2 linked regions of the Bombyx mori genome follow. The protein of the gene in region 1 interacts with the protein of each later gene in a biochemical or structural test. Links are inferred from orthologs where the notes say so. Each region holds a gene or a part of one and is shown on either strand. Other genes may lie near its edges. The genes, in order: protein SHQ1 homolog and H/ACA ribonucleoprotein complex subunit 4.

Region 1 (17,736 bases):
CTATCTCAAGTCAATCCTAGCGCTTACTGTAGCTACAAAATAAGACACGGGACGACTATGAACTCTAGATCGTAATGGAATATGCAAATTCGAAAAGGGCACATGTCGCATATTTTGTTAAATACGTTTTTTCATATACATGTAGTTTTGAGGCTTACCTACACCCATTTTATAATAATTCCAGTAATTTTCAATTGCTAATTAAGACTAAAATATATCTCAAAAGCTAATATTTTAAATTTTACACTGCTTTAGAAAATAATCAGTTTTTTTCATTTCCTGAACATTATTTTACATTTTAAGAGATCTGCCCTTTTCGAAATTACATATTCAATTAAAAATGCAATGAGCTTTTCTCAAATGAATGCTTTAATAGCCAAACTAAACTGCAGCTCGCACTAAACTGAAGCAGTAACGCGTTTCGGTTTGAGGTGTCGGGCAGCCTATAAAACTAAGACTCACGTTTCGAGGTAAATGGTGGCATTTACGTTGTTGATGTCTATGGGCTCCAGTAACCACACACCACCGCTTGGACTGAGAGTTTGTCCGCCCATCTTAGCAATAAATAAAAATTAAAACACAAGCCATATTTCAAGGTTATTTTCTATTAAACTGTTTATTAGACTACAACAACAAAATGACGTGTACAAATTTTCGTGTTAATCTGATATCGTTAAGTTGGTAACAATTACATTGAGATTCCGTGACATATATAGACAGACAGAGTATATTATAGACTGAGTTAATAAGCCATATATCACACGTATACCAATATTTTATGCAAGGCATTTATGTACCTGCCTAATTTTCGCTATTATTTTACTGTGTGACATTTCTATTATTTTAGAAATTCTTTTTTTTTCTTCTTTTGGCAATAGCGTTTACTTTTAGCCAATGACGTAAATTAAAAGATTGGGAAAAATTCTATTATTTAAGAAAAAAAACCTCACGTAGAACGCTGTAGTTCCTCATGTACTCTGCCCCATTTAATCTTCCACACGACAAAGTCATTACTATCGAAGTTCATTTATACTTTACGCTATTAAAAATAATAAATATGTTTGTGTTTGAACAATGCTGGCGGTATGTCCACTACATCGTGCAATGAACATCTCTCAAACAACAACTCAATATAATCGAGTTGTTTGTTTGTTTATTTTTAAGCTATGCGAGATATTCAAAGCAATTACCTCATTTCATTGTTCACAGTGGTCAGACGAATTTAGAAAAAAAAACATTATTATTCTTTAACAAACGACATGAAAATGCTTTATGACACATGACAGTTTTGATTAATCCGTTGATTAGACAGTGAATTTATGTTTTTTTTTTAAAGTAAAAACTTCTTTAACGCTTTTGTAATTTGAAAATCAAAGAAACGGAAATAACACTGAAAAGAGACAACCATATCTATTGGATCTACGAGAATGAGATAGAATACTTCTGAAGCATTCACTTCTAGCTTGTGCGAACAAAACATCATTCTCTTGCCCTTCTCCCAGTCACCTGAGGTCGGCGCAACATGTTTTCTCTTTTTATACTCCTCTATCATCTACCATTTCTTCGCTCACTCCCCTCTTACACATATCGTCTTTCACCCAATCCATCCATTTCTTCTTGGGTCTACCTTTTCCTCTATATCCTTCCACATTTATAGTTAACACTCTCTTACCAACCTCGTTTTCATTTCGTCTCATCACATGTCGATACCATCGCGCACTTCTCAACTTCTCTGTCACAGGTGCCACTTTCAGACTCCCTCAAACATATTATATTACATATCGTGCGTGTGCGACAAAACATCATTTTTATTTACTTATATACCAGCTTTTCCGCACTCTATTCATAATTGAGACTAGTTGCACGGTTTTAATATCGCGTTTATTATTACCGACATTACGAATACCTTACTTACCTGTGTTGAACATGAAACATTGGTGAGGAAACTACATCACTATGGTATTAGGGATGGTGCATTGGAACTTATTACTTCCTATTTATCAGGAAGGATACAAACAGTAGATGTGAAAGGAAATAGATCTTCAGGCACCACGTTAAAAATGGGTGTACCTCAGGGTTCCATTTTGGGTCCTTTTTTATTTCTAATATATATAAACGATTTGCCTAGTTTTATTGAGTCCCGACACGAGGTCGTATTATTCGCAGATGATACATCTTTATTATTTAAAATTAAACGACAATTACAAGTCTATGACGAAGTGAATGATGCGATTTCGTGTGTGGTTCATTGGTTCCGTATCAATAACCTATTATTGAATAGTAAGAAAACGAAATGTATTAAATTTACTTTAAAATGTATTAAATCATCTTTAAATGTGAGACAAGTAGATAGTAATGTAATTGTTTCTGAGGAATCATTGGAGCTTGTTGAGTCAACCGTATTTCTTGGTATAACAGTGGACTCCAAACTGCAGTGGGGACCTCATATTCATAAATTGGCGAGTAAGCTTAGCTCTGCAGCATACGCAGTAAAAAAAATTTGAATGTTAACAAATGCGGACACGGCTCGTTTAGTTTACTTTAGTTACTTCCACAGTGTCATGTCCTATGGCATTTTGCTATGGGGCAATGCGGCCGATGTAGAAATGATATTTATTCTGCAGAAAAGAGCTATACGTGCTATTTATAACATGCACTCAAGGGAATCCCTGAGGGAAAAATTTAAAGAAATTAAAGTTCTCACTATGCCATCCCAGTACATCTTTGAAAATTTGATGTATGTTCGTAAACATATTGAGGAGTTTCCTAAGATGTCGGACATACATAATAGAAATACTAGGAACAAACACAAGCTTGTTGTGCCGATGAGTAGGTTACATAAGATACGAAATTCATTCGGGTGTTTGTCTGTGCGCCTGTACAACAAAATCCCACAAGATGTTCAGAACCTACATATAGATAGGTTTAAGAAAACTATTAAAGAACATCTGTGCAATAAAGCTTACTATAAAGTCAATGATTATCTAGAAGATTGCACAAAGTGGGAATGAGTTGCTCGCTCCGGGAATTTCAATATTGTAAAATTGTTATGTTATAATTACTTATTGTAATATGAATATTAAAAAAAAAAAATATTTAATATAAAAATAAAAATCTAATATTAAAAAAAAAAAAAACATGCCCGCTGAGTTTCTTGCCAATTCTTCTCAGGACGGAGGCTAATTCTTGTGAATTGGCGGTAATTCTTTTGACGTTCAATAAGTATGTACTTTCATTTATGTTGAATAAAACTTTTTTGATTTGATTTGATTTGATTTGATTTGATTTGATTTACAGTTCTCGTGGGCATTTCATGGACGACTCGGGTGTTACTTGTCAACATTTGAATATTGTGTTAAGTACCGTCAAATCTATACATATAAATAAAATTGGAGTGTCTGTTTGTAATATTGAAATAGCCTCTTTTTACTACATGCATATGAATATATATACGGTTCATACACCAAAATAACATTTTTTACAATTTTGGTGTGTCTGTCTGTCTATCTGTCTGTCTGTTTGTTCCGACCAATCTCTGGAACGGCTGGACCGATTTTGACGGGACTTTCACTGGTAGGTAGCTAATAACATAAGGAGTAACTCAGGCTACTTTTTTAGACTAGCTTCGCCCCGCAGCGTCACCCGCGATACGACAATAACCGCGGGTAACGTCGCGGGACATCGCGCGACTCACTCGGGCTCAATTATAAAATTTAATGTTACCGAAGCGAAGCCAGGGCGGGTCGCTAGTCTTCAATAAAATATAAAAAAATTTATTAACAAAAGTTTTTTTGGAGCCTTCAAAAAAAAATTTATACTAACCTTCTTAAAAGCCTCCTTGCTTCCGGGTGTGCTTGTTCCGTTGCGCATATGAGCCATTCTAAAGCCTGTTTGAAATTTGATATCTTGTCAGCCTCAAGCTCTGAAACATTTTATTTTTATTTACCAACTCGAACAAGCTTAAAGTTGGTTTAGCGACGCATTATTAGACCTTTTTTAGGCCTTTCTTTATTTATTAATGGTTGGACGAGCTCACGGCCCATCTGGTGTCAAGTGGTAACTCGAGCCCATAGACATCTACAACGTAAGCGCCGTCACCCACCTTGAGACATGAGTTCTAAGGTCTCCATTTTTACAGTACAACGGCTGCCCCAGCCTTCAACCGAAACGCATTACTGCTTCGCCGCAGATACAGGCAGGGTGGCACCTACCTGGTGGGACCTACTCGTGTAGACTAACACGACGCCCTATCACCAGTAATTACGTAAAATTTAAATAACTTCACTTCAGAGCAATGTCAAATCGAAAGTTTTATACCTACTTCATTGAGTTTAATAAGAATTATTAAGCAATCATTTCAGTCTACATCTGTTCAAATATCTTTGTGCAATTGGAGGAAATACAATACGTGATGATTACATCAATATTGCAGGTTAAATCCAAACCATTTTAACATCTCTTTTTTTTGTGTTTCAAATAAATTTAGTACATTTTAATAACACACTCAACAGAATAGCTTTATGATTAAATTGTAAATAGCTGTAAAAAATATAAATAAATAAATAATAATAATAAATAAATAAATAAATAATTACTAACAATCACGCCACGTTAACTGGTCCCGTGATAAGTTTGTAAAGAACTTGTGTTACAGGTACCAGATAACGGATATAAATGTAAGATTTTTATTATACACATACATTATATTTAATATACATCCACAACCCTGGAAAAGACATTTATATTTATCATACAAATATGTTCCCTTGGCGGGATTCGAACCCGCGACCCCCTTGTGTAGTGACCATGTCATTTACCACTACACCAGACGGCCGTTAGAACTAACTTTATCCATATTTTTGTCTAAATTATTCACTTTGTTTTCAGATTTATTTTTTATTCTTTTATTTTATTATTACAATTATAATAATCATAGAACAGCTAATTACATATGGATTATTACTATATATGTATGTAAGATGGATAATAAGAGATATGGAGTATGACTGACTGAGAGAGATAGGAGATGCCCTGTTAAAAGCTAAGAAAGACTGCGAATGGATGTTTTAGATATCGTTTTATTTTAAGCTAGAGAAGGACTGAGGGTAGTTACTCGATGGAATGGAAGACATGTTGTTACTCGGAAGACGAAGGATATGTATATTTTATTTATTTTGCTATAATAAAGATGGAATCCAAATCAAGTTTGTGTGAAACAATCAACAGTTTTATTAGCTCAATCTGAATAGAGGATCCCACTATAGATATTATGTATATACATATATAAATAGAGATGATGACCAAAATTTGTGTTCATGCTCTAGCCTCATTGACCTCCTTCTGAACTATTTTAGTTATGCAACAGTAGACCTGGCTTGGAGTTATAGTGTGAGAATGAATTCCAGGCCAATAATATGTCATATTATTTGATAATGATTTTCCATTTATGTTAAGACATTTTGATATTTGGCAATGTTTTGTTTAGTGTAATCTCTTATACCTTGTACTATTTACACTCACCACATTTTTCTTCCAAGAGCTGTTTAGCCAGTACCACTTGAGATTCAGCACAACCATCCTCAGCTAACTGATTCCTAAGTCGACGTAGTGACCCTTGAGGTCCATCTGAAACAAGATCGTTCTTCAACAGTATTAAAGGTACATTCTTTATGTATGACATTTGAAGTATATATAAGTAAATTATACAGAATAAAGGAAACATTTATTTAAAAGAAAATTGTCTCAAGATGTGGCATGTTTTCATTGTACCACTAAAACAGCTGCACCCTTTGCAGTTTGCAGTCATATGTCTAGTCTCAGCCACCACAGCAAAGAACCATGGTAATCTTAGACAACTGCAAAGGATTTAACAATGAGACTTCTATGCACTTACAGTGTAGTGTACAGTGCCTAGTAACAAGGTGGAATGATGATATACATGGAATAGCAGGCAATGGCTATAAATGAGGCCCAGAATCAGGTTGCATAAAAAGACTTGGTAATAGTATATGTCCAACAGGACTAGAATAAGATGTTAATGGATGGATGATGTGATATTTAAGCTTTCTAAAGTAAGAAACTTACTACTGACAACACACATAAATAATAAGCAAATATATGCGGGGGTCAGGGTTCAAATGTTTATTTACAACAATTTAATATTAAGCTGCAAAATTCACACTATAAAATTAAATAAATAAATGCATAAAATAGTTACCGATTTTTACTAAATTTGAATATTCACAAGGTCAATCGGAAAACTAAAAATGTGTTAATGATGAATTTTCGCTATCATAATCAGTTTTCTTAATTCATCAATCATTGTTAAATTTAATTATTGTGCCCCTACAATAAACTCCTAAATTTTGAGTTTAGAATTTTGACTTACCATGTAAATTCCACCGTTTGCGTCCCCCGGGCATTACCTTTTAATTCATTTATAAAACACAAAAATATGAAAGGTTTCCAATATATTTTATATATCCACAATAGTTGCTTTATCTAAAAATAGTTTTATTTGTTTGTTTTGATTAGAAAATTAGTAAGAAACGCACAGACGGTTCGCAATTTTTTGCTTCAATCTCAATGCTTGTGTCAATTGTCAATGTCATTAAAATTTGACTTGGGAAAATTTTGCAACTGCAAATTCATGGAAACATAATTTAAATAAAACCTAAATGCATGTTTTAAAATTATACTCTCACACTTAATTTAAATAGCACTTTTACTTGACTCAGTTGACTGTCTCCCTAGGTACTATGCTTTAATGGTGTAAACTGTAAACGTGATTCTATATTGTAGAAAGTTACCGTGTGTGTGGATTATGATTAAATTTAAGTCCTACGCGATCGCCCACACACGCATGCACTCATTTAAGAAAAAAACTAACGTGTTCTGAAAATAGACAAACTTTTCGACAAGGGATTCCTTGTTTATTTTCGGTTCTCCTAATTTTCATTTTGTAGCAGCTTGTTCTATTTGAAACTTGCTTATTCCGGTTATTGACCTAAGTTCATGGAAATTCAGAAATTAAAATCAAGACAATCAATTTTATCTACAAAAATAATAGTGGCAGTAATTCAAATATTTTACAACTGTGTACTGTTGTTACTGGTGGTAGGCCTTCTTGTGAATCCGCGCGGGTAGATACCACTAACCTGCTTATTTCTGCCGTGAAGCAGTAATGCGTTTCGGTTTGAAGGGTGGGGCAGCCGTTGTAACTATACTTGAGACCTTAGAACTGATATCTCAAGTTGGGTGGCGCTTTTACGTCGTAGATATCTATGGGGTCCAGTAACCACGTAACACCAGGTGGGCTGTGAGCTCGTCCACCCATAAAAAAAAATCATTTTACAATACAATTTAAGTAACATTTATGTGACCTTGCTCAGATAAAAGTGCTATGAAATAGTAATATGTATATTTTTATCCAAATTCTCAAAAAAACAACGACATTGTAGGTATTAATTTATTTTAGCATTCAAGCGAACTATCATTCCTAATTGCCTTAATCGTATATGCAAAGAATAAGTATTATGGATTAGGACATCGTGACCCACTTGCTGTGATAAATTGATCAGGAAGTCAATATTGGTTTCTTTTTTGACGAAAGCATACAATGTGGACTCAAAGTATTAGAATTATAAAAAGGTTAAGAGGCTCAAACATAGTACATATTTCTATTTATATAGTGATTTTATTTTTGAGTCTTGCCAAGAAGTTGATAAAATTAATTTCGTTTCATTCCAGTTTAATTGTTACTTTCATTTTGGTTTCAACCTTACGTATATTTCTTTCAGTAGCAAAGTATACTTGAAATGTTTCAATTGCAGTTGAAATGTTGCATTTAGTATGTACTTTACTTTCAACAAAATGAAAAACTATTAAGAATTCTAGCTAGGAACTCGAGGAAATAATCTGAATTGTTTTATTTTGTTATTATTATGATTATGTTATGTTATTTGGTGCATCTTGTAAACGTGTAATATTAGTTTCTTATTAAACGTTTAGTATTTAAGAAAATGCACAATTTTGAAACAAAATCACGGAACGCTGTTTGTAGTGTTCTTTCAAATTCATTCAACTGCATTGAACTTCTTATAATTTCCTACCAAATTACTGAGATGTTATTTCATTTCATGTAACTCTGCACGGTATCTATAGCTTATGTTTCCTTTGCATAATCAAGAGTGAATAAAGAAATAAAAATAAGTTTGACATACTCTGGTTTTAAGTAGAGATGGCCAAAAATGGCAATTTTTATTGATGAAGACGATGTTTTCCTTTTTACAAATAGTGCTTATAAAATAAAATAAACTAAATATCGAGACCGTTTACCTTTTTCTGTTGTAGAAAATAAGCATTCCAAAAGCAACGACGTCGCGTCAATTAATAAATGACGATAATTATGTTCTTAGCTTGGATCCTACTACTAGTCTCAAAGACCGATACGACCATTTTAAAGCATTGTCCTTTCAGCTTAAAGGGCTATTATAGCTATGTACAGATGGGTAGGTGAGCTCATGGGCTCAACCTAAGAGAATTTTACACCTAACACTAGTGTTAAAACAAGATAAAACTAGTGCTGCAAGAGCAGCACTTCGCAGAATATAGTACTAGATCGGAATCGTGACCCACTGAGAAGATCCGGCGAGAAACTCAATGGGATATTTCTATGGGTTAGTTCAGTCGTCGAACTGTTCGTCGAAATTGAGGTTTCATGAAAACGGTGACCGTTGCTTGAAGAGCCTGAAAGCACCTGGAGTGGATTCGGGCGATCCGACAAGGCATCTTTGGAATGACAGCGGCTATAAGTTGCGCCGTCACCTGGATCGTAAAAGTAACTGGCAGTGACTACGATAAGTGGGTTAGTCGGGCCCTTTGTCGACGTAGCGTTCTGATGCAACCTTAAAATATTCACGTATCGGTTATAATCATAGTGAAGTTTAAATAGTTCTGAAAACTGGTGATTATGCATCATCATATAATCAACGTTGGATTCGATATGCATTGCTATAGCATTGTTCGATACTCTATCGAAACAAAATTTCGTGCACCGCGTAACACTACATCGATACTCGATAATGTCGATACGTATCGCGCATCTTCAGTGATTAGTGTAAATGTCAAATGTAAATGACAAATGTCAAACGGATGTTTCCGTTATGCCGGAGGGGGATTACCATGCGTTGTTTCATTGTTTGTTAACGAAATAGCTTCTACCTAATTATTTTATGAGGGTTAAATCTTAAGATATATCAAGTCCACGGTACCGAAGTAACGAACTTGTTACTTTTTTGTGAATCAGTCCATTGTTTGACTGCATCGCAATCAGTTTTAATACTAAACAAAGGCAGTTGGTGCCTGACTAGAAGATCAATAGTATACATCATGCTTACTCCACGTTTTAAATTAACGCAAGACGACAACCACATATTCGTAACAGTTCACGCACCGTATACAAACATTGGAGATACAGAAATAGATGTTGATGGCGAAAATTTCCTTTTTGTGTCTAGTCCTTACTTCCTTCGATTGCGATTACCTGGCAGGATCGTTGATGATGATCGGGCAAAAGGTTCATACACTTGTGATTCGGGAGACTTCAATCTCACATTTGAAAAAGAAACTGCCGGGGAACATTTTGAGAACCTTGATATGATCACAAATTTACTAGCACCTCGTGATATACCAGATGTCAATCCTAATCTAGTTGAAATGCTTGAAGAAGATGGAATTACCCTGGAAAATGATAGTGACAGTGAGAACTTAGAAAAATTCACATATGGCTTTGCTAATAAAATATCCAATGAATTTTGCAGCATCGGAAATGAATTTCCACAAATTTTTGAATTAAAAGCACCTGAAAATGTTGCTGTGGACGAACGTAATTCTATGAGGATGAAACATGAAAATGATAAATTCTCGTCTGATCATTATCTAGCAGACTTTTTTGATGATGAACTTCTTGCACCCTACTTATCATCCACTTCTTATTGGGACAAAGGGGATTTCAAAAATGAAGTAGAATTTACAGATGAAGAAGTAGCCATATTAAAAGAATTGCCAAACAAGCATTATTTGCTAAGCAAAGAAGAGTATAGAGAAATTATGCTCGGATTAATAGATATCTTGTTTGGGTATTGCTACGACAAAAGAACAACATTAAATGAAAGCACAGTGGAGTCAAGCTGGACCATAAACAAGCTTTCTTCAACACTAAGTTGGTTCTGCACTTTCTTAGATACAAGACATGTTTTGATTGCATGCTACAGGAGAGCACTCACTTATCCGATATTTAGGAACTATGAGCTGTGTAACAAAGTAAAGAATGATCTAGTATCACTATTACGTAAAGGCAAGAAATTGGTAATAAAATGTATGATTGAAGTACATCAAATGTTCAACACTAGTAATGATGCACGTTATATCTTAAACCAGCTTTATATCAAAGACTATTTGGTGTTCTTACAAAAATGTCGTAATGAGGAAATCATGGAAATATGCAATAATATAGCTAATATTGAGCTCTGTAAAAAAGATTTGAACTTAGAGTTAGATGAATTGGAAATGGCTGCTGAAATGGTTAAACAGGAAGAAACTGAAATCATGGAGAATGAGATGGCCGTCCAAATGGCTTCCATGTCTTTACTACCGGGACTGAAAAAGAATATTGCTCCATACCTTGATGAGAGTGATGATGACACTGACAGCTCAACGGACTCAAGTGATGATAGTTCTTCTGAAGATTCCTCTGATGAAGGCCTAGATTCTGATGATGATCCATGAAAAACAAGAGGAGTGTAAATAATTCAATTCTCGAAAGACACTAATTAGTGTGAATTTGCATGTTTTGATTGCACTTAATTTGGTTCATGCAATCAATTAATGAATTTATTTTATAAATTTTAAGATATTTGAATATGTTAGAAAGACTGAATAGTTTAGTGTCAAGAGAATAAAGGGCTGGTTTAAAGGTTTGAAAGATTCTATAATAATTAAAAAATTTAATTATATATTAATTCATCATTAAATTCTATTTAACCTATGGCAGAGTTTCAGACATTTGATAACCAATACTTTCAATGTTATTTTGAAAGTTGTGTGCACAAATGCACAGCCCACCTGATTTGAAGTGATAGAATGTCCTAGCCACTATTATTCTGTGGCAAAGATAGGCATGGCTGTAGAGTCTACACACTGCCTCCTGCAAACTGCATAGGTACTTGAAATTTAATAATTTTATTATAATGTAACACTGCCATTTTTTAAAGAAGGCAATTATTTATGTTAAGCAAAACTATAGTAGTGTTCAGTTTCTTCTCAATTTTCAAGAAAATTAATCATGTATCTCTAAGTCTAGATTAGCAATCAATGATCGATTACTGACTGCAAAGTGTAGTCTAAAGTAAGCATATTAAAAACTGATTAACCAAATCGTTGAGAAATGAGAACATTTTTAATAAACAAAATTATCTATGTATTGACATTTTCGTGAAATAAATAACTGTTTATAAAATATCACATTTATTTTACTAGTTTTCTTTTTGTTAGTTTCTAGTTTTTATGGCAGTTATAGCCATAACAGATTGTTGTTGTTGTTGTTGTTGTTGTAGTCCTAGGGCACCCTGCTGGTACATAGGGCCCTCACAAGTTGTCTCCACTTGACCCTGTCTTGAGCTTGCGTCTCCACTTGACCCTGTCTTGAGCTTGCTCCTTGACATCACTCCAGATCACGTCATCCATAAATTACGTCACACGTTATGGGGCAGGTTATCAACAGAATGTGATATTGTGTGACATAGGGCCGGGGGTCACAAGTGTTACGTGACGATTTAAGATTTAAAAAACTTACTAAAAAGTCAGCTCCTTTCTCTGTTATCTAACATATTTGACTAAGGTATGTTGACTTGATTAAATAATAATTAATAAAAATAAGAAGAAAACGAAAATAACTCTTTTTTTTTAGTGCTTAGATGGGTAGACAAGCTCACAGCCCACCTGGTGTTAAGTGGTTACTGGAGCCCATGGACATCTACAACGTAAATGCGCCACTCACCTTGAGATATAAGTTCTAAGATCTCAGTGTAGTTACAACGGCTGCCCCACCTTTCAAACCGAAACGCATTACTGTTTCACGGCAGAAATAGGCAGGGCGGTGGTACCTACCCGCGCGGACTCACAAGAGGTCCTACCACCAGCAATTACGAAAATTATAATTTTGCGGGTTTCACTTTTATTACACGATGTTATTCCTTCACCGTGGAAGTCAATCGTGAACATTTGTTGAGTAGGTACGTAATTCATTAGAAAAATTGGTACCCGCTTGGGATTCGAACACAGGTGCATCGCTCAACACAAATTCACGGGACGTCTTATCTCTTAGGCCACGACGACTTCTTTTCTTTTCACTAATATTAAGTACAAGCATAAATATGAAAAATATGTGACCTCACATTTAAAACACACAGGTTAAAAAGTGCTAAAATTCGTGTGACGTAATTTATGGCTCCTAATAATAAACCATTTTATATACCTAAAGATTAGAACCTGCCACGCCGACTAGAGTCCCTTGATTGCGATTGGCCGTCTTTGCGATGTTTCTTGTCTACACCAAGGCTAAATAAATAACATTGTTATAATGCTCAATTATGAATAAATTTTTTTCCTTAAAAACTGATAGGTACCTAACCTTTTTTATGTTTGAGAGATTACTGGTGGCCCAGAGGCCTTTCCAGTTTTACCAGGGCAGGTGAGCGAGCAAGGGCTCAGCCAGGAAGAGTGGGATTTGCTACCAGCTACCCGAGCGCCTCCAAAGGAGACTTAACAATTCAAGAGTAGCTGTTTCGCGAATGACACTGATAGCATTTAGGTAGTTGGCCCATCATTTCGTGTTGTAATTGTTTTTGTCTCGTAAACATTTCTAGATTGATCTTAATATGGTATAGGTATATCGAGGGGTGAAAAGCTATTTGGTTTAAGGGGCATTTTTGCTACTTTACAGGAGAGCTATTGAGATTTCAAAATTTAATATAATATGTATATATATTCCTAAGCTGGTAACGTTAGAGGGTTATGCCAGCGTAACCTGCCTGGTGAGATCACGGGGCTCTAACCTGAGGACGTTGCTAACACTAGCCTTAGTAAGAGCAGTGGTTCCCAGAATCTACCACCGGATCGGAAACGCGACCCACTGAGAAGATCCGGCGAGAAACTCAGTGACCTGTGTCTGTAGGGTCATAATATAAGAGAGTTTACTTAAATAAAACTACAACAAATCGGTTTTGATATTAAATTTAATAAATAAACCCACACCATCTTTTTTCTTTATCAAATTATTATTTTCTGTATTCCAGCCCAATTTCACTTCCTGATATCGGTTTTATGATAAAGTTGAACTTGAAATCTAACTTGCTTACATCACCACTGATTTTGTACTTCCGTAGAAGGTGCGCTAGATTTATTTTCATCAGCGTCAAGGCGTACGCTCTGCCTATTGGAACAAGTAATTAAGCTAAAGTAGGTACTCGATGAGTAATTATGACTTTTTTTTTATTGCTTATATGGGTGGACGAGCTCACAGCCCACCTGGTGTTAAGTGGTTACTGGAGCCCATAGACATCTACAACGTTAACGCGCCACCCACCTTGACTTACTTACTTATCAGTAAAACACTGGTGGTAGGGCATATTATGAGCTCGCAGCGGCGAATAACACCACCCTGCCTTCAGCGGCCACGGAAGCACAAACCCGTCTTGAAGGGTAGTATAGCCATTAATTTCTATAATTGCTTTAGTCGAGTGGCGGCAGTTTACGTGGTGAAGTCTATGGGCTCTCGTGTAACCATTCAAGATCAGCTGGACCGTGAACTCGTTCAGCCGTCTAAACAAGAAATTAACCAAAAAAACAAAAAAGAATAGACAAAAAATGTTGGGTACTGCTACAAAAAATGGTATAAAACTAAAATTTACTATAATAAACATTTCGTGAATAACGACTTAAGTAAATAAAGTGTTGATGTTTCAATACAAAATAATGTAGTCAAATATAGGTACTCACCAGTGCAACTTCGTTTGCCAATACTGAAAGCCGCAAAGGCGTTATCAGGTATTTTCTGGGGATCCAACCATCGTTCAGGCTTGAATTCGTTAACGTCTTCACCCCACACTGTGTGGCGATTTATACCAAACAATGATATCGAGCAATCAGTTCCAGCTTTAAGTGTAAAATTTTCTAAAACAAACCGTTTAATAAAGTATAAGATTATTTCGTATTTTTATACAATTAAGATTTAAAAAAAACTATCTCATAGGCACATATTTAGTCTCAATTAGTGAACTAGCAACAGCCCGTGGGCAAGGAGTGATGATATTTTAAGAAGGCGATCATCCGTCACCAGTTTGTCTTTCTTAAGACGCGTGACAACTTACACTTACGTCTCTTTGGGTCTCTCTCGCCAGACCCTAAACCTCACACACCGCGGTCTACTGGTGCTTTTTTTTGCCTTTATATGTTGGTAGTCTCGAGAGGCTATGCCAGCTCCATCTAAAATGGTCAGGTCTTCTTCTTCTTCTTTATTTTTCGGCTCCGGCACGGTTTGTGTATTAGCCAGCGTCAAGTAATCAGTTTTTTGAACGAAACGAAATGAAATGAAAACGAAATAAACTGAAATGAGATGAGATGATATGGTATGAAAAATAATCTCAGTAAAATGGTGGTAATTTACTAAGACTTTTTCAGTGGACTTTTTGGAGGATCCCGAGAAGTAACGTTCAACGGCTTTATTTCATTTTCCCACATTTGTTCACTTTCGCAAATACTATATTGTTCATAAACTACCGTTATTACACATTTAACTTCAAGAAACACTAAATAGACAAAGTAAAACAAATCACACAACTTCACTCCTCGAGTTCCCGCCAAAAAAACCCGTGCTCAGTTCAACAAGGCAGTTCAGTCGCAGAACATGAAAGGTTTTCGACTAGATACTTGAAATTAAACATTTATTCAGGCACTCACTAAGTTTGACATCCTCCTCGATATGTCTCAGACTAACCGGTCCCATTGTATAGAGTCTCATGGTTTCCTTCAGGACCGCTTCAGTGTAAACAAGTTTAGATAAGTCTTCTTTTTCTAGATCTCTGTCTGAATCACCAAAAACATCCATGATCCTGGAACATTCGTATGATATCAGCGATTGACAGCTAAAATAACAGCTTTTTAACAGCAATGATGTGTCTTTTGGATTATGTATGTAATGTATAATATTATTTTGATTTCATAGATATTAATGACAAAGAGAGCTAAAACAAATGTTTAGCGTGTTTAATATTAAAAAGGTAAAAAGAGTGCAAAAATTAGCTATTCACTGATTAACATAATGTATAAAAAATTCTGGCAGTAAAATATGTTACAAAAGAATTATATTAATGAATGAATTGAATTCAGTTTAGAGCCTGTCATTCTCGTTTAAATGTGATATTATTACTAGAAATAGATTTTATGGAGTCGAACATAATCTTTGAATTTTTATTTTTATTTAAACTTCGATTCAAATAAGACGGCTGTGGATGAGCACTGTTTTATCTTTAATATAGTTATGCATTTAGAGTTTACAAGTTTGTGATTCCGCCTCTTTGGGACGCAATGAATCCTCCTTGAAGGCGTAATATTTTCAAGAAATGGATTACCAAAGAACATTACATTAAATTTGGAACTAGCGCACCCGCCATTCGCATTCCCGCTTATTTGCAACGCGCAACATTAAAAAAATAAACTAAATAAAACTCGTTTTTTCACCGCTATCCCATCCTATCAAAACTTTCAATTATTGTAATATTGTGAAGTGTTCGCGTCCGTTCACCGCTCATAAGCAATTAAGGAATCTTATCGCTGAAGAAGAGTTCGAGAACATCAGGTGAGTAAAGAGTTTTGTTTTCTGATTCAAGCTGTGTTATTAGAACTCCAATGCGCCGCCAAAATTTGGCTACCGTCTGCGGATCGCATCTCATAGCTTTAAACCATTTTCCATCCGCATACCTACGTGATGTAATACCAATTACACGCCACATTATCTTACTATGTATTTTGTTATAAGTTAGTACCTTTGGATTTCATTAACAAGATTTTATATTAAAAATTGTCCGACAAAGCCAAAAGTCTCAATACAATAAGAGATTTAGTTCATCTTTTGCCGCATTAAAACGGTTAAACATTTATAATTTATCACAAATTATGAAAATTTAATGTTGTGTATTATTGCATAATTATTGAAGTCTTCTCCGGCTTAGATATGATTATTAGAGTCGCCACCGTGGAAATTAGTACCGGCATATACTTAATAAACGTCTAGTGACTAATCTTAATCCTCTGCCACGACTATAAAAAAGCAATAATAATTTTGTCGCACAATATTAAAAAAATTATTGGAATGTCTTTGTGTATTTTTTAAATTTGTTTTAATTTTACTTACTACGCTTGAATGCTGCAACGTTAGTGTTTAATTTAATTTCGCTTCAACTCTAATTCTCATATGGTGTGTATTTAATTCATTAATAGATTTAATTCTTTACTGTTGGTAGGAAGTCTTGTGAGTCCGTACGGGTAGGTACCACCACCCTGTCTATTTCTGCCTTGAACCAGTAATGTGTTTCGGTTTGAAGGGCGGGGGAGCCGTTGTACTGTTAAAATTGAGACCTTAGAACTCATATCTCAAGGTAGGTGGCGGCATTTACGTTGTAGATGTCTATGGGCTCCGGTCACCACTTAACACCAGGTAGGCCGTGAGCTCGTCCACTCATTTAAGCTATAAAAAAAAAAAACTTAGGTGATGTGATACAAAAATGTCGAAAAAAATGGTTTTATCATCTCTTAGTTAGTTACTAGTTACTAGTTACTCACTCGTTGTAAGCCCTGTCTTGAACTTCTGGAAACGATCCCAAATTTACAAGTACATAAACCAGGATCCACGAGGAAGTGTCGAAACCAGCCATAATTGCTGTGTCAACTTCCTCTCTGATTTCCTGGTCTGTTAGAGCGTCTTCTTTAGCTAATTTCAACATAAGATCCAACAGACCTTGATATTTATTATCTGCAATCGATTAAAAAAAAACATGAAACAAATGGTTTTGTGTAAAATTACTTCGTTATGATGTAGTCGGCGAACTTAAACTATGCTGACTTAGAATGGATCCACCTTTTTACATAGAGACATGGTGACAAACGACTAAGGGACCGGAGAATTGTAATAGTTATTGACAGCGTTCTCTGAGTAATTTACCCGTCTCGCCAACGAACGTTTACTGGTGGTAGAGAATATTTTGAGCACGCATATGCGGGTAGTATCATCCTGCCTACTTTTGACGCAAAGCATCATCCATCCTGGTTCGTAGGTGTCATGTCAATATATTTGATTTCGACCCCACCATTCAAGATGGTAGAAGATTTCCATGATGGTACTTATAATCCTGGTGATCAGTTAATAACAGGTTGATTGAATATGTATCCCAACTTTAGCATTGATCCTACATGCCTCCATCGTGCATAGTCTGAAATTCCACTGTGATAGAATGGATAGCTGTTATTCCAATACAGTTTTTCTAATGTTTAATTGTAGAAAAACCATTTAATACCATGTGAACGGTGAGCTCTAATGACCAATAAAAATAAACACATTAAATCAAACCAGCGGAAACCGGCCGCTGTGACGCTAATTGTGTGAAAAAGACCGTTTTTTTT
Region 2 (15,825 bases), on another chromosome or scaffold:
TAGACACGTGCTTACGGATCCATCAGATCCAATAACTCTTGCATTAGATACCTTCAGCTCTAGCACTAGGAGCAGGCTGAGGAGCCCCGGTAACCGTACTCGTCGAACTCGACAAAGAGGTCGACGTGCAACCTAACCCATGCATCAACCCGCTGAGTTTCTCGCCGGATCTTCTCAGTGGGTCGCGATCCCGATCCGGTAGTAGATTCATTCGCGAAGCAATTGCCCTTGAGTTGTTAGGTCTCCTTCACATACCCCGCGCGCCCCTTTTGCGCGGGGACCTCGTAGGAGGTTCGGCCCTCTACCAGGAAAAAAAAAAAAAAAAAAAAGGTCTCCTTCGGAGGCGCTCGGGCAGTTGTTAGTAAATCCCACCCCTCCTGGCTGAGCATTTGCTCGCCCACCTGTCTTGGTGAAGCTGGAAAGGCCTCCGGGCCACCAGTAATCTTTGCATCATAAAAAAAAAAGTTATAAATATTTTATGAACAGTTAAGAGTAAAAGGGTTATTTTGATATATCCTGAAAAGCACTCCACGCTTTTTTACAATAAAATCATTTTTTCTTACATTATTTTTAATTCAAATTTATTAAAATTCGTTCCATCGCTTTTTTAAATTCAACGTTATTTGACTCAATATCATCGGTACGAACGCTAAAAGTATAGGAACTTATATTTGAGGGCTTGTCTGAGTCTGAGAAGCTTGAATCTAATTCAGTATTGCTAAAGCTTGGATTTCGTTTTGCTGTGATGTGCTTCCATTGGGAAAGTGTACTTACTACTCGTAGGCTTAGTTTTCGATTATGATGTTTTTTATTTGGAGGAAAATTATTTATTTGAAGTATTTTTCATCGTGTTTGTGCATTTTGGCACTAAACAATATTTATTCGAAATTGTTATAATATTATACGCAACATTACCATTATACCAAACGTAAACAAGGCCGCGCGGTGGCGCATCTACGGTCGACTAAGGGCCTGGCCACAGCTGCCGGCAGTGCGTTTTGCGGTGCGTTGCGAGACGCAGCGAGCGGTGTGATTTGCGGGGGTATTGCCTTAGCTAAACTATTTTTTTTTTTTTTTTTTTAATTTTATGACCTGGTGACAGAGACCTTTAGGTCATATCTTATTTGGAAAATGTTCATTACTTTGGGGTTTAGCTAAACTATTAGCGACGGCGGCCATAGATTATACACTTAAACGGCGGCGGCGTCAGAGGTGCACGTATTTAGGGAGCCCTATCAAATGTCCCTATCAAAAGTGGTACGATTTTACCTTGAATTAAGTGCGTTCGCTGGCTGAAGATATTATTCAATCAAGAATAGGAGCGCACCCAGTTAGAAAAGGAGAGAACTTGGCGAATTCCACACTATTTATTAGGAATATAAGAACTATCCCGATAAGTAGATTATTAATAGAAAATAGGTTCAACATTCACAGAAATTACCAGGTTCAAATCTCAATTTACCATACGTGTTAATTGGTTAATTGGCTTAAAAAATATTTGATGCGCCCTTATCCACCGGGTGGTTTAAATGCGGAATAAATCATTTTCGACAAAAGATTATCCCGGGCAAGAGTCACAATTCAGTACGCGTTTGGTATTCTAACTAATACATTTCGTATTTTTACGAAAAGCTTAAAGGCAAACAAAAAGCACGCGACGTTGATTATAAAGGCGTGCCTGTTACACAATATTATAAGAGAAAGAGATTGAGACAGAGATGCAGATTTTCAGCAGTTTATTTCCCAGTTTGTAGACTCCAATATTCACAATATCGTACGCAGATCAAGACGGAATAATCAAGCAACGGTTCAAGCATCTAGAATACGAAATCAATTCAAAGGACAATGCCCATTTTCTATGGGCGTTTGGGCCGCTAAAAAAAGTTGTCGCGCAATGATGGTTTTAACTTAATTTGATAGACAAAGAAATATCGTTTCATATTCAGAAAACGATTTTTATATTCTCACTCAGGTTTAAGAGAAATCTGTTTTTTTCTGCAGCTAAAATTAAGTTGTTAATTGTTTTCTTCGAAATCAATAATCGCTCTCATCATTATTTACAGTATTAAATAAGTTAATTGTGGTTAACGTTGCTAGAAATAAGCCCTTACGTACATTTTATTATTATTTTATCATAATAATAATAATAATAAAATTAAGATAAAATGAAAATCCGGAAGCCGGCAACGATATTGTTGTTGTTGTTTTTAAATTCGCCAATAATTAGGCAAAGAGCGTAGCTTATACAGCCTATATTTTTTTAATGTCAATAAAAACCCGGTGTATCTCTTTTTATTGCATTTTGGGAGTTTTGACGTCAACTCGATGAATAGCACATTGAGTGAGCGTGAATTTCCGCAGACCTTCTATCTTGAAAAAAAACAGTCACTGCTATGTTAGCCACAGTCTTATTCCAATGCCTCAATAATCGTGAACAACGATTATTGACGTTTAATACATAAAACAACACCCAATTTATATATTAAACATCACAATAAACTATTAAAAAAACATTAAAATAAAACTTCAAGTGACGCTTCACTCGGGTTGCTGCCAAAACTCTCTGATCATATATAATAAGAATAGAGTAATGGTAGGCCATTGAGATTTTTACTAATGGAATCATTAATATCTAAAAATAATTATATAAAGTAATAATTATTATTACAATATATAAATATTGAATTGATCAAAAATAAACTAAAAAGTCTGTGAATTATAACCATTAGCAATTTTTTATTATTTGTTGTTCAAGTTAAAGCAACTCTTTCGTTTGGCAGCATATAGTTTTACTATAAGGCTGCACGGGCTAAGCCCTTTGCCTATTGGCGAATTTAAAAACTATGGCACTCAGTTTTGGGGTGTTATCAAATAAGTAATTTATTTTTTTGTAAAACAATGCCAGGGTGAAAGAAATGTTGATACATAAACTAAACAACGTGAAAAAATAAGGCATAGTTTTTCAAGTACAAAAAGTTTAAACATAAAGTTAGCCCACTTTTGGGCATTGTCCTTTCAAATTTTATTTCAAATATCCTATCCAAGAGTATCTATGAAACCAATACTGCCAGAAAATTGTTGTTTTATAACATGCCTATATTTATGATGTGGATGTTTTGACATCCATATTTCTACTGGTCTACTCAGTACTTCACTAATGAATTGTTCCACAGTAAACGAAAGTAGCGCAGCAGCGGCACTAAATTGCTTATAACTACCTCATTTATGGTCGTATACCAAGGTTTTATATTTTTCAAGGACTATAATACTGCATTCAAAACTCAAAACCTTGGCCATCATCATTCAGTGCTGCTTCTGATCAATAGTTTGTTTGGGTACATACAATTCGGTGATGCTTCTGTCCAATAGCTTATTTGGGGACATGCGATTCAGTGATGCTTCTGTCCAATAGCTTGTTTGGGGACATGTGATTCAGTGATGCCTCTGTCCAATAGCCTGTTTTGGGGACATGCAATTCAGTGATGCTTCTGTCCAATTGTTTGTTTGGGGACATGTGATTCAGTGATACTTCTGTCCAATAACTTGCTTGGAGATATGCGATTCAGTGATGCTTCTGTCCTATAGCTTGTTTGGGGACATGTGATTCAGTGATGCTTCTGTTCAATAGTTTGTTTGGGGACATGTGATTCAGTGATGCTTCTGTTCAATAGTTTGTTTGGGGACAAGTGATTCAGTGAGGCCTCTGTTCAATAGCTTGTTTGGGGATATCTGATTCAGTGATGCCTCTGTTCAATAGTTTGTTTGGGGACAAGTGATTCAGTGATGCCTCTGTTCAATAGTTTGTTTGGGGACATGTGATTCAGTGATGCCTCTGTTCAATAGTTTGTTTGGGGACATGTGATTCAGTGATGCTTCTGTTCAATAGTTTGTTTGGGGACAAGTGATTCAGTGAGGCCTCTGTTCAATAGCTTGTTTGGGGATATCTGATTCAGTGATGCCTCTGTTCAATAGTTTGTTTGGGGACATATGGTTCAGTGATGCTTCTGTTCAATAGTTTGTTTGGGGACATGTGATTCAGTGATGCTTCTGTTCAATAGTTTGTTTGGGGACAAGTGATTCAGTGATGCTTCTGTTCAATCGTTTGTTTGGGGACAAGTGATTCAGTGATGCCTCTGTTCAATAGTTTGTTTGGGGACATGTGATTCAGTGATGCTTCTGTCCGGTTGTTTATTTGGGGACATGTGATTCAGTGATACTTCTGTCCAATAACTTGCTTGGGGACATGCGATTCAGTGATGCTTCTGTTCCATAGTTTGTTTGGGGACATGTGATTCAGTGAGGCCTCTGTTCAATAGCTTGTTTGGGGACATCTGATTCAGTGATGCTTCTGTTCAATAGTTTGTTTGGGGACATGTGATTCAGTGAGGCCTCTGTTCAATAGCTTGTTTGGGGAAATTTGATTCAGTGATGCCTCTGTTCAATAGTTTATTTAAGCGGTCCATTATGAGGTTTCTCATGGCGGGGAATCTCTATAGAGCAGTGCAACGACTAATGATAATCATCATTTAAAAGAAAATTTCACCGTTTCTGACCTTGTTTCTCTAAGAGGTAAGCTGATATTTCTATTATCTACTAATTGATAACATTATACAAAGTTTTTTTTTTTATTAAAAATTATAATAATTCATTTATTTATCCGATAATTTTAAGCCATACACAATAATACATATATAGATTCCCCTTTTGATATTCGTTGGCCCAGTACAAAATTTGATAGGAAAATCTAAACAAAAAAATATTTTATTGACAACCCTACGACTTCAAAATCAGTGATGGGCGTAACTAGTTACTTTTTTAATCTAATTAGTAATTAAACTACAAAATAATTTAATTACAATGTAATCTGATTATATAGTAATCAATTACATTGTAATTAGAATTACTTTGGATGTGAAAGTAATTGAATACAATGTATTTAATTGCAATATAACTAAATTACAATCTAACCTAATTACATAGTAATCAATTACATCGTAAATCGTAATTACTTTGAATATAACACTTGTAATAAAAACACATATTTATATATATCATACATCGATTTTTTAGATAGGTAGGTTTTATGTACTTCAATAAAAATAAATAGGTAAGGCTCACTTCATAGTGAACTAGAAAGGAAGGTGTGCGGAGTGGGGGACGACTGCTTTTTCTTTTCGACTTTTTTTTGTTTTCGTACGCTACTATCATTAATTTTCCGAAAGCCAACCAACCACCTGTCAGACGAAATGTTTGAAAAAAGAGTCCTATTAAAAGTAATTTAAATTATAAATCAGCAAAATAATGTTGTTTAATTTAATCTGCCAATGATTAATTTAAAAAAAATAACGTAAAATGATAAAAGATTATAAAAAAAAGTATATAAATGTGTTTCATTTTTGCGTTTGTCATAAAAGTTATTAGTAGGACATTTTTTGTAAGGTTACCTAACAAAACATAACAGAATAGTTATGTGATCAATTATCAGTAATTATAAGTAATTTGTTTCAAATACATAAGTAATCTGTTACAGTTAATGTAATTAGGTTAACTTATAATTGAATTACTTTATAACTGATTACAATAAGTACTCGCTGTAATCAGTTACTTAAGTAACCTGTTACAAAGTATCTCAATTACCAATTACAATGTAACTGTAATTTGTAATTATTAATCTGATTACTTTTTGCCCATCACTGTTCAAAATTAATGCCGGCCACTGACATGCGCGCAAATATTCGTACATTGTACGAATGCTTGCGCGCATGTGAAGGGCCGTGAAACATTCATTCGCAAACCTAGCGGCTGTGCAAATGGGTTCGCATACTCAATTTGCGAACCCGTTTGCGCTTCCTCCTACACTTGTTTATGAATGTCTCACGAATTTCTCCTTCTTTTTAATTCGTCAATAGAACATTGAAGAGAAAAAGAGTTTTTAACTATTTACCAGATATCATTAACAGCCATGCTGTTTTTATGGGATTTCTTTTGATGAAGATACGCTACACAGTAGACGTCACGAACTATGAAAATGGCGTATAGTATACGTCCGTCACCTTCGCAATCGTCGGCGCAACTGGGCAAGCGAATGTGTGGGAGGCTACGCGAAGGTTCGAGGTTCGCGCGCTTTGATGTCTGTTAAAAAAACGACACAGCTTGGAAAACCACGAATGCAGCGAAAACTTTGCATAATCATTCGCAAATGTCGTCCTACACTTGTGGGTTTGCGTATTCGTGCGCATGTGAGGGACTGGTGTAATATCCAGATTAGTTGTAAATAGTTAATTTACGGGACACCCTGTATATACCGTCTGTACAGACTGGCGTAGTCATAAACTATCTTTAAAAAATACTTGTCAAATCAAATCCCAGAATAAAACAAATTTTTCCTTAAAAATAGTTTATTTCAATGTCACAAAAATCTTCTTCCATTACGTACTTACAAATATAAACTCAAGATGATATTTTACTTACCATCTGACAAAACTAAATACCTTATTGACTCCAAGAGGTCTCAAACCCTCAAATAATTGGATTTATATTGGATTTAAAATTTATATTTAGACTTTTAGAACTTCACTTGAACTTAAGCTTAAATGCTTTTTTTAATACAACTTCACGGTTTAACCTCTTGTTTTTTATTGTCATTTTAAATTAGGTATTTCCGGGGTTTTTTTCTTCAGTTTTTGTGGTCACAGGCGTTTGAATGAGCCGTAAAGTAATTTTATTTATCTTATCTTTCTTTTCTTTACTACTTCCAAGGTCACGAACGACTGAGTGAGACGCAAAGTCGTAAATACGTTTTATCTTCCACCAGTGTTATGCTGTCTATATAATAATATGTCTCATCTATGGTTAGATTAGTTAGTGTTACATATTCTACGAGGGGTAAGCATTTTCAATCAAAGACTTAAATACGTCAATGACATTTAAAATTCTAATCTAAATTTCACCAGCTCAAAATGATTAAAAAAAAAACTAATTCTAAAACAAAGGAACAATATAATTATATAAAATATAGTGCATTTTATTTTAGTTTTAAGCTTACGACACCTAATTAAAAAATTGTCGGCATGCGAAGCGATCAGAATTTTGCAAAATAGATTTTACACGCAAACCCGCGTATAACCTATAATCTAATTTTATTTTTATAAATCTTAACTAAATACAGTCGCATAGATTTATGTATATAATATATACTTATAAAAACTATTATATCTACCATTGTGCCTTTATTGTTGGGAAAGGCTTATTATTATTGAAAAATAATAAAATATATTTACACCCGTATCATAAATGCAATGTTAAGTTATTTTTTTATTGGGACAAAAACACCACAGACTATCCTATCGCCAAACATGGCCTAGCCATTACGATCTATTGCTTGGCAAATAGACTGAATTTATGGCAACATAAAGGATAGATTATCAAGAAAATGTATTAAATTATCAAAATAATTCAAAAATTGGTTATTAGACATGGACAAGAACTGCATTGAAAGATGCCAGTTTTCCTATTAATTTAAATTGTTTTATCGTTCAATAATTTTCTATATGTATTTTGAGGTTTTTGTTTCTGAATCTAAGTTTAAGCACTAAAAAATACAAAAGAGTTGTTAGGGACTTTTATTTTGAAAAAAAAAAACATCATTCCTCATTATTCATTCGTACCACTTATGAACTAATCTTATAAACTATCTTAACAATGTACAATGTTTTAATAAACGACGACAAATTACAAAATTTTAACTTTAGCAATTTGAGCATTGAGTTCTGCAATTTTATGGATTGGAGTTTTAGAACGGAAATGACTAACCTTTTTTTTTGAGGCAAATGATTTCAGCTCGGTTAAAAGAGAGTCTGGAGCAGTTGGGAGTTATTATTATACATGCATACTCTATTTATGTAATGCATATTCATATAAAAAAAATCACAAAAGATTTTGTCGAGTTGTGTGTGGCTAGAACACGCATAGGATTATCAAATTGGATCTGTAACACAACAATAGTGTCAAAGATTACTAACTACTCAATTAAATGTGGATTAGAATATATGAGTCGACTATTATCAAAGCCGGCAATCTGACTTTTGGACAATGATTGGTAAATCAGAAAAACGAATTATTGACTTTGTATTCCATTGGCAGTCACAAAACTCTTCGGAACGACATCTTAGATAATAATAGGTTAACTATTAACCTTTATTTAATGCAGGTTTTGAACCGTATTCTTTGAAGGAGACGATTATATTCAAATCAATCTGTATTGACATATCAATAAAAAATTTTTGTCCAAATGATTGCCACCTTTGATAATAGACGACTCATATATTCTTTGACAATGTTTAAGACTCTCTTTGACACAATAGATTAGACATATAAAAGGGTGCGTGTACTTATGTACGCGCGTAAGAAGATTTACTTTATTTTTATTAAATTTATTTTTTTTTTTTTATTTAAATTTTAATCAATTTGAAAAAAATCGATTAAACAACATCCTCAAACACGCATATTTGACATCCCTTTTCTTGACATCGTATAAATTCGGTAATTCTCGGTACGGTTCGGAAAGTTCACCTGCGGCTATATTCAGACTCGCCAAGTTACGTCGGTTGTATTGTAATGAGCGATTTAGTGGACAACTTCATTCTGTTAATTTTGTGTCACGGTGCGCGCGCATCGTAAAATTTCACTCTCATCAATTTTTCATAACGCGCCTTAAAAAGTATAACTTCAAAAAACAGTATTTTTTAAGTAGTTTACGTGCTAAATCACAATGTAACATATTGCTAAAGTTAAAATATTGTAAACGCCATAGACATTTGTCCATTCCAAACGGAACTACATCAAAATTTGAATTTACTTATATTTTTTACGCTTAAAAGAGAACCATTCTCAATTAATACCATGTCCATTTCTTATGACATATTTATGGGTACATGTTACTTCGTAATTACACTTAATATTCTTAGTGTGTAAAGAAACTATTTCAGTAAAATAAAACATAAAGTTTAGTTTGATTTGAAGTTAATATTCAAAATTAAAATTACTATTATTGAAGTTTCTTGACAACACACAATGTAACCAAATTGTCAGAATCAGCTGAGAGACAAGGTCAAGGCCCTCGTGAAAAGCAGCCATATTGAAATTTAATTAAATTTGAAGGTAATCAGTATTTTTCCTAGTTGCCTAAACTTGCCTTGTTATTAAATGTTCACTTTAGATACTTTTTGAATAATCCAGTTTTGTGTTTAGTTTTCAAAATTTTTCCAATAAAGGGTACCATTTTACCAATAAATTTGATATACTTAACATAGCAGTTTTGTTTTTAAATTTCCATACATATTATTGATAAGAGATGGTGGGAATTTTTTTTCTCTAATTACAAATTAGATTAATTACATTTAATTTTGTGAAAATACCTTCTGCTACGAATATAATACTTATTTCATTAATCTTGTTTCTGTTAATTCAATATGAAATCTCCAACTTTTTACATTTATATATCCGATTATTGTATCACTGATAAATGTATGTCGAATTCAAAAAACGCAATTTCTTAATATAAGCTGTACAATGTTGTCTTTCAAATCTAAACGTAACTCAGTTTAAAATCTACAAACTGTTTGTTTTGCAACATCAAATTCATTCATCAACCTCTTGTTTATCTTTCTTCTTTTTCTTTTTCTTCTCTTTGCGCACAGAATCATCTGCTGGTTGTTCTGCTGTCTCTGGTGACTCCGATGTGTCCATAGTGGCGTCTGCTTCGGCACTGGAATTATGAAGAAATTGAATAGATTGTGTAGAAATGTGTATAAATAAAGCACAATAAGCTAGGGCTTTGTAATCGTACAAACAAGTATATTTGTTCTGCATATGACTAGAAGGGAAAGCTTGAGGACAGACAGAAATAGTTTTTAATGAATTTTCCAGCACCCACATATGCAATAAAAGAAAAAGTTCATCCAGATCTTATAGCATATTTCGTTTATCACTTGTAGCATATAGAAATGTAATTTTGGAATATTTTTGAGAGGCATTAGCTCCAATGTGTATTAGTAAGGTTTAAAATATATATCGTCTTTTCGCATTAGAAGTGTACAATTTCCAAAAATATTCGAAATTGAGTTAATTACGGAATCATTCGGTATCACCAGTATTTTTCTCATAAATACTGTCAAAAGAGCATAGTTTCGTTTTTTTTCTTTAGTTTACCTATATTTTGACTACTATTATCAAAATTAATACATAATTTTATCTTACTTTAAAAGACAGATAATGTAACATTTTTTCTGCAAAGATGATTAATATTAAAAATAGCACATGTCTAACACTCTCCTGTAAAATTAGTAAGTTTTGAGATTATACAGTTTTAATGCGAGAAGATGAATCATGTGAATGTGAACATTGTGTTGTTTTTTTGTAATCTTAATTTTATAAATTTCTTTTTTCATTGTTCTTTCTACAATCATATCTGATGTTGACAGTGGACACTGTGTGGAGTTTGTTTGTTTGCCTATTTGTAACATATTGTTTGTTTTGGACTGTTTCCCAAATAAATAAACACATAAAAATAAAGCATAGTACTGCCACAGTAATTCTCACTATCCAGACATCATTTATTATAATTTGCGTAATTACTGGTAGTAGGACCTCTTGTAAGTCTGCACAGATAGGTACCAGCACCCTGCCTATTTCTGCCGTGAAGCAGTAATGCATTTCGGTTTGAGAGGCAGGGCAGCCGTTGTATATTGAGACCTTAGAACTTATATCTCAAGGTGGATGGCGCATTTACGTTGTGGATGTCTATGGGCTCCAGTAACCACTTAACACCAGGTGGGCTGTGAGCTCGGCCAACCATATCTAAGCAATAAAAAAAAAATTCTCACTTAGTTTGTAATAACAAATCCTTGAAACCAGACACGATAATTGTCTGAATTCCACTACAAATAATCAAAATGCAAAGAACCAGTACTTACGGGGCTTCACTATCTCTCTTTTTCTTCTTCTTCTTCTTTTCCTGCTTCACCTCTATGGAGACATCGGGATCTTCTGCGTTAGCTGTGCTTGCCGTTCGCTTTCTGCTGCCTTCCTCGACACCGTCACCATTCTCCGGTTCTTTCTTAACATTATAGTTGACGTAACTGTTTAACCATTCTTTTGGTGTGTTCTCATTTGGTTTGCCATATTTGTCAAGTTTCCCTTGTTGTATGAGGATTTTTTTCTGTGAGGCTTTCGGTCCGAGACCCCATTTTCTGGGGTACGTGTCTCGTTCCATTATGACACGCTTGAGTTTCGCGGCTACACCATGATCGCATGAGGCCATCGTAGACGTGGTCATCAGAGCAACGGCCAACGCTACTGCCTCACCTTTAGTGGTGACTATTACGATTTCTTGGTCAACTTCGATGCCGTCTTCGTATCTTAAAATACCTGGTAACAGCACTTTGGCTCCGTAGCAAACAGCATTAACAGCGCTGTCTTTGATAAATATCCTTTTGTGAGCAATCAGGAGGCCTTCCAGAGGTTTGATTACTCGACGAAGATAAGTCTCGTCTTTGTGGTTTTCATACGACCATTGTGCATCTAGGATGTCGTGCATCGTGACCATGCCTTCCTTCTCGCCCTGAATGCCGGACCGTACTCGTCTGAGTTCGATCATCTGACCTCCGACGCCAAGCATCAGACCTAAATGCACACACATCGTCCGGATATACGATCCAGCCTCGCAACTAACCCAGAACACCCCAATATTCTTGTCCTGGTCGAAATCCAGGAGTTTACTGTCGTACACCGTCCTGACACGCAGTTGTCGCTTCACGGCCGATATAAGCGGGGGCCTCTGGAATAGAGCTCCACGCAGCTTCTCCAAGCCCTGTGTGACTTTTTGAATATTCTCTACGGCTGAATGCAAGTTGAAAACGGCTACATACTCTTTGCCAGCGTTCTGTTGTGATTTGACGAGTCTCGTGGCGCGGTCTATGCAAACGATAAGGCAACCCGTAACTTTCGGATCGAGCGTGCCCGAATGACCAGTCTTTTCGACTTTTAAAATACGTTTTATCCATGAAACTACTTCGTGGGAGCTGGGGTTGCTCGGTTTGTCGACGTTGATGAAGCCAGATTTGACGTAATCAGAGATGGGGCGTTTTAAAGGCGAGTTGCCGAATGGTAGCGGCGTGTAATGGTTAGTGCGCACATTTAAGCGATCGAAGTTTTTCAACAACAAAGGCCAGTAAGCGGTGTCCAGCTTCTTCACGCTCTCCGAAGGTTCGATTTTGAAGTCGCCAATTGTCTGAAAAGCTCCCAACGAAACACCATCCTTGTTTTTTTTCTTTTTCTTCTCTGAAAGTGTGTCGTTACCGGGCTGCAGTACCTCCGTCATTTTGATGAATTAACACGTATCTTTTCTTACTCTTAATTTTAGGCGATCGACGCAATCACTTGGGTAAACAATGCCCTATAATCGGGCACTGTTTATTGAAAGAACTTTGAAAATATAACACAATGCTCGGCCATATAGCACGTGCGATTCGGTTGAGGTTAGCTTCAGATTTGTTTGCGTATGATTATGGTCAGATGGCGCCAACGTGCAAAGCTCGTTGTGCCAACATTAAAACAGAAAATAATTCGGATACTTGTTAATTTTTTTAACCTTAAAGCAGAACATAAACATGTAATATTTTTATTGGACTGAAGTTTTATACTTTTTCGTTTATTATTGATAATTTTAATAATATTTTGTTAGTTTTTGACACTTAAAAACAAAAACGATTTCCAAAAAATGCCACGAAATATCGTAGTCACTACTTACACTAAAAATATTAAAGAGAAAATGGAACTTAAACGTAGACCGAAATATACATTTATTCAACTCCTAAATTTCGTACATTGTCTTGGCCTATTTATCATTAGATAGGCAAAGAGAACTAAAACTATGCCGCCGAATTTTTGTAACAAAAAACTATATTATTATCGACAAGGAACGTACAATGGAATAATTTAAAGACAGAACCCAATCCCCTCAAAATCTTAACCGTCCAACAGAAATCCATCAATTTCATAGTTGGGAATTTGCTTAAAGTCCAACAGAGATTATGGTAGACCCAAAAAAATAAAAACTATTTAACATCTTGTCCTTCCACCAAATCCTTATCAACTTCTTTCACTCTCACTTTAAATAGGAACTAACTAGTAAAAACAAATCTAAGTAGTCCAAATATATAATATAGGTAAAATGGGATTCTTTTTTTCAGTGTGAGATATTCCGTCAAAGTATCCAAATATTCAGTACCTATACTTCAAAAAAAAGTCACACTTGACATTGACATTTATTATCAATGTTTTTTTTACATAGACCTATATAGTATTTTTAGTGCCGTAAAATTTCAAACAGCAACAGAGTCAGCGTGCTTCTTTCTCATACTGTCCGTTGTTGATATTGTTTTAGTAAAATAAATTCACAGGATAAAACTTGATCATGGCGGGCGTGCTATTCGAGGACATTTTCAACGTCAAAGACATGGATCCGGAGGGCAAAAAGTTCGACAGAGTCAGCCGATTGCATTGCGAATCGGAGTCATTCAAAATGGATTTAATATTGGACATTAATTCTTGGATATATCCAATGCAACTAGGCGAAAAGTTTCGTCTAGTTTTGGCCACGACGTTGAGGGAAAACGGATACCCTGACGGCGGAGAATGGAACCCTCTGGAAACCGAAGGAAATCGAGCAGATAGTTTCGAATATGTCATGTCCGGAAAAGTATACAGGTTAGTTCTAACATAAAGGTGTTGTAGCGGCAGGTATCGTACAACAGAAGATATTTTACAGATGCAGTTAGCAATTATACAATTTCCTAACGATCATATTCGGAACGTCGAACTACCGAGCAAAATCATGTCCTCAGTGGAAATCTTTCCTTATAATGAAGCTACCTGTCACATTAGCTCCTCAATTTGATGTTGAAGTGGATGAGAGCCGAAAACGGCTCAGTGGTGTGGATTGGGAGACGCCCATGCCCAGCAGGGGACGCCTTGGGCTAATGATGATGGTGATGGTGATGATGATGAACACTTGTAATATCTATGTGGTTATAAAGTCTATATAAACCAATTTAACAGTATTATGAGTTTTGTACATAGGCAGAGTGGCACCTTCCTACAATATGAGGTACCACCACCACCTGGAATCAAATAAATCATAAATTTTGTGGGTTTCGTCATCATCGTCAGCCCACAAACGTCAGAACACAGACCTTTCCCATGACTCACCTCAATGGCTGGTCCTGTGGAGCCTGCATCCAGCAGATTCCTGTGACCTTTAGCAGGATATCAGAAAACCGAACAGAGCTGCCCACTCTCCCGGTGTACTATGGCCATTTGTGATCAATTTAAAAACTCACAAAATTTATCCATTTGTGATATTTCATTGCCTACCATTCATACTTACCTATGCGATTTGAACACTGGCAAATTTCATCCCTTAGTATGAGAATACAGTGTTCGATTTGTGATTTGATGTACCCACCAGATATGAAAATCTACAGATAGCCAATAGGACTAAAAGCAACTCCTAATTTGAAATAGCTGCCAAATGATTAATTAGTTCTCAATTACAAATTTAACGCAAACTCAACTGGGTTACGTTTAGTTAAGGTTATGTTTAGTTAAGCAAAAACAATGATATACTGTTTGTGTTACTATTTATGCTCCTGTATCAAAAATTAAATATATTCTTGTCCCTGAAGTAGTCTGGCTGATATCAGTGGAAAAGTATTCCATTGGAACTACTGCAAAGTAATCATTGTTGGACTAATAATTGTTGTATTTAATGCAATTGAGTGTACAGTGAAAGCTCTTCAGAAACCGTGAATATGGAATGGTAATTTATATATATCGGATTATAGAGGATACATTCCTAGGTGACATAGTAAAAAAAGTCTTTAGGCATAGTTGTGATAAGGTCTATTTTACTTTTTTATTTGTCCATTTGATGACAAATTTTCAAAATATGTTCAGTTCTATACCTACATATTGGAGTCCTTTTTATCAATGTGTCGAACCCGTCGCTTGCGATGAAGGGCTCGACGAGCAAATTAACCCATAGACACAGCCCACTGAGTTTCTCGCCGGATCTTCTCAGCCTGTCGTGTTTCCGATCCGGTGGTAGATTCTGCGTAGCACTGCTCTTGCTAGGGCCAGTGTTAGCAGCACTCCGGTTTGAGCCCCGTGAGCTCACTACACGTTAGGGGGAAGCTGATATAGCCTCTCAAGGCTATCAGCATAGGAAAGAATAAAAAAATTAAGCAATTTTTTTTTTTATTGCTTAGGTTTGTGGACGAGCCCACAGCCCACCTGGTGTTAAGTGGTTACTGGAGCCCATAGACATCTACAATATAAATGCGCCACATACCTTGAGATATAAGTTCTATATTCTCAGTATAGTTACAACGGCTGCCCCACCCTTCAAACCGAAACGCATTACTGCTTCACGGCAGAAATAACCGGGGCGGTGGTACCTACCCGTGCGGACTTACAAGAGGTCCTACCACCAGTAATAGAGGTCCTACCACTAGTAATAAAAGCGTATTAAAAAGTCCATATCTATTCAACAATACAAGTGCTCTTCTTATTCCAGGATAGAAGGTGACGAGGCAGCGATGGAGCCGGCATCCAGATTAGCGGCCTACGTCTCGTTCGGTGGCCTCCTGATGCGGCTGCAAGGGGACGCGAACAACTTGCACGGCTTCGAAGTTGACCAGCACATGTATTTGTTGATGAAGAAATTAGCGTTTTAGTTCTATTATATTATTTGTAAAATTAACTCTA

The links.
Region 2: the proteins of protein SHQ1 homolog (region 1) and H/ACA ribonucleoprotein complex subunit 4 are reported together in a solved structure, tested with the Homo sapiens proteins (2 studies listed by BioGRID, with this or other methods). The link is inferred for Bombyx mori from reciprocal best matches to the Homo sapiens genes SHQ1 and DKC1.

What each region holds. Positions count from the first base shown.
Region 1 is NC_085132.1:6,840,261-6,857,996, forward strand, and holds protein SHQ1 homolog, read left to right. Parts: upstream 1-9,136; 5' UTR 9,137-9,390; coding exon 9,391-10,788; 3' UTR 10,789-11,520; downstream 11,521-17,736. Other genes in the region: wolframin, read right to left, coding at 3,823-3,922, 5,521-5,625, 6,389-6,422; uncharacterized protein LOC101744633, read right to left, coding at 13,338-13,492, 14,059-14,232, 15,019-15,170, 16,900-17,089. UniProt on the Homo sapiens protein: Required for the quantitative accumulation of H/ACA ribonucleoproteins (RNPs), including telomerase, probably through the stabilization of DKC1, from the time of its synthesis until its association with NOP10, NHP2, and NAF1 at the nascent H/ACA RNA.
Region 2 is NC_085130.1:16,020,899-16,036,723, reverse strand, and holds H/ACA ribonucleoprotein complex subunit 4, read right to left. Parts: upstream 12,618-15,825; 5' UTR 12,380-12,617; coding exon 10,974-12,379; intron 9,767-10,973; coding exon 9,640-9,766; 3' UTR 6,381-9,639; downstream 1-6,380. Other genes in the region: DNA-directed RNA polymerases I, II, and III subunit RPABC3, read left to right, coding at 13,475-13,767, 15,635-15,794.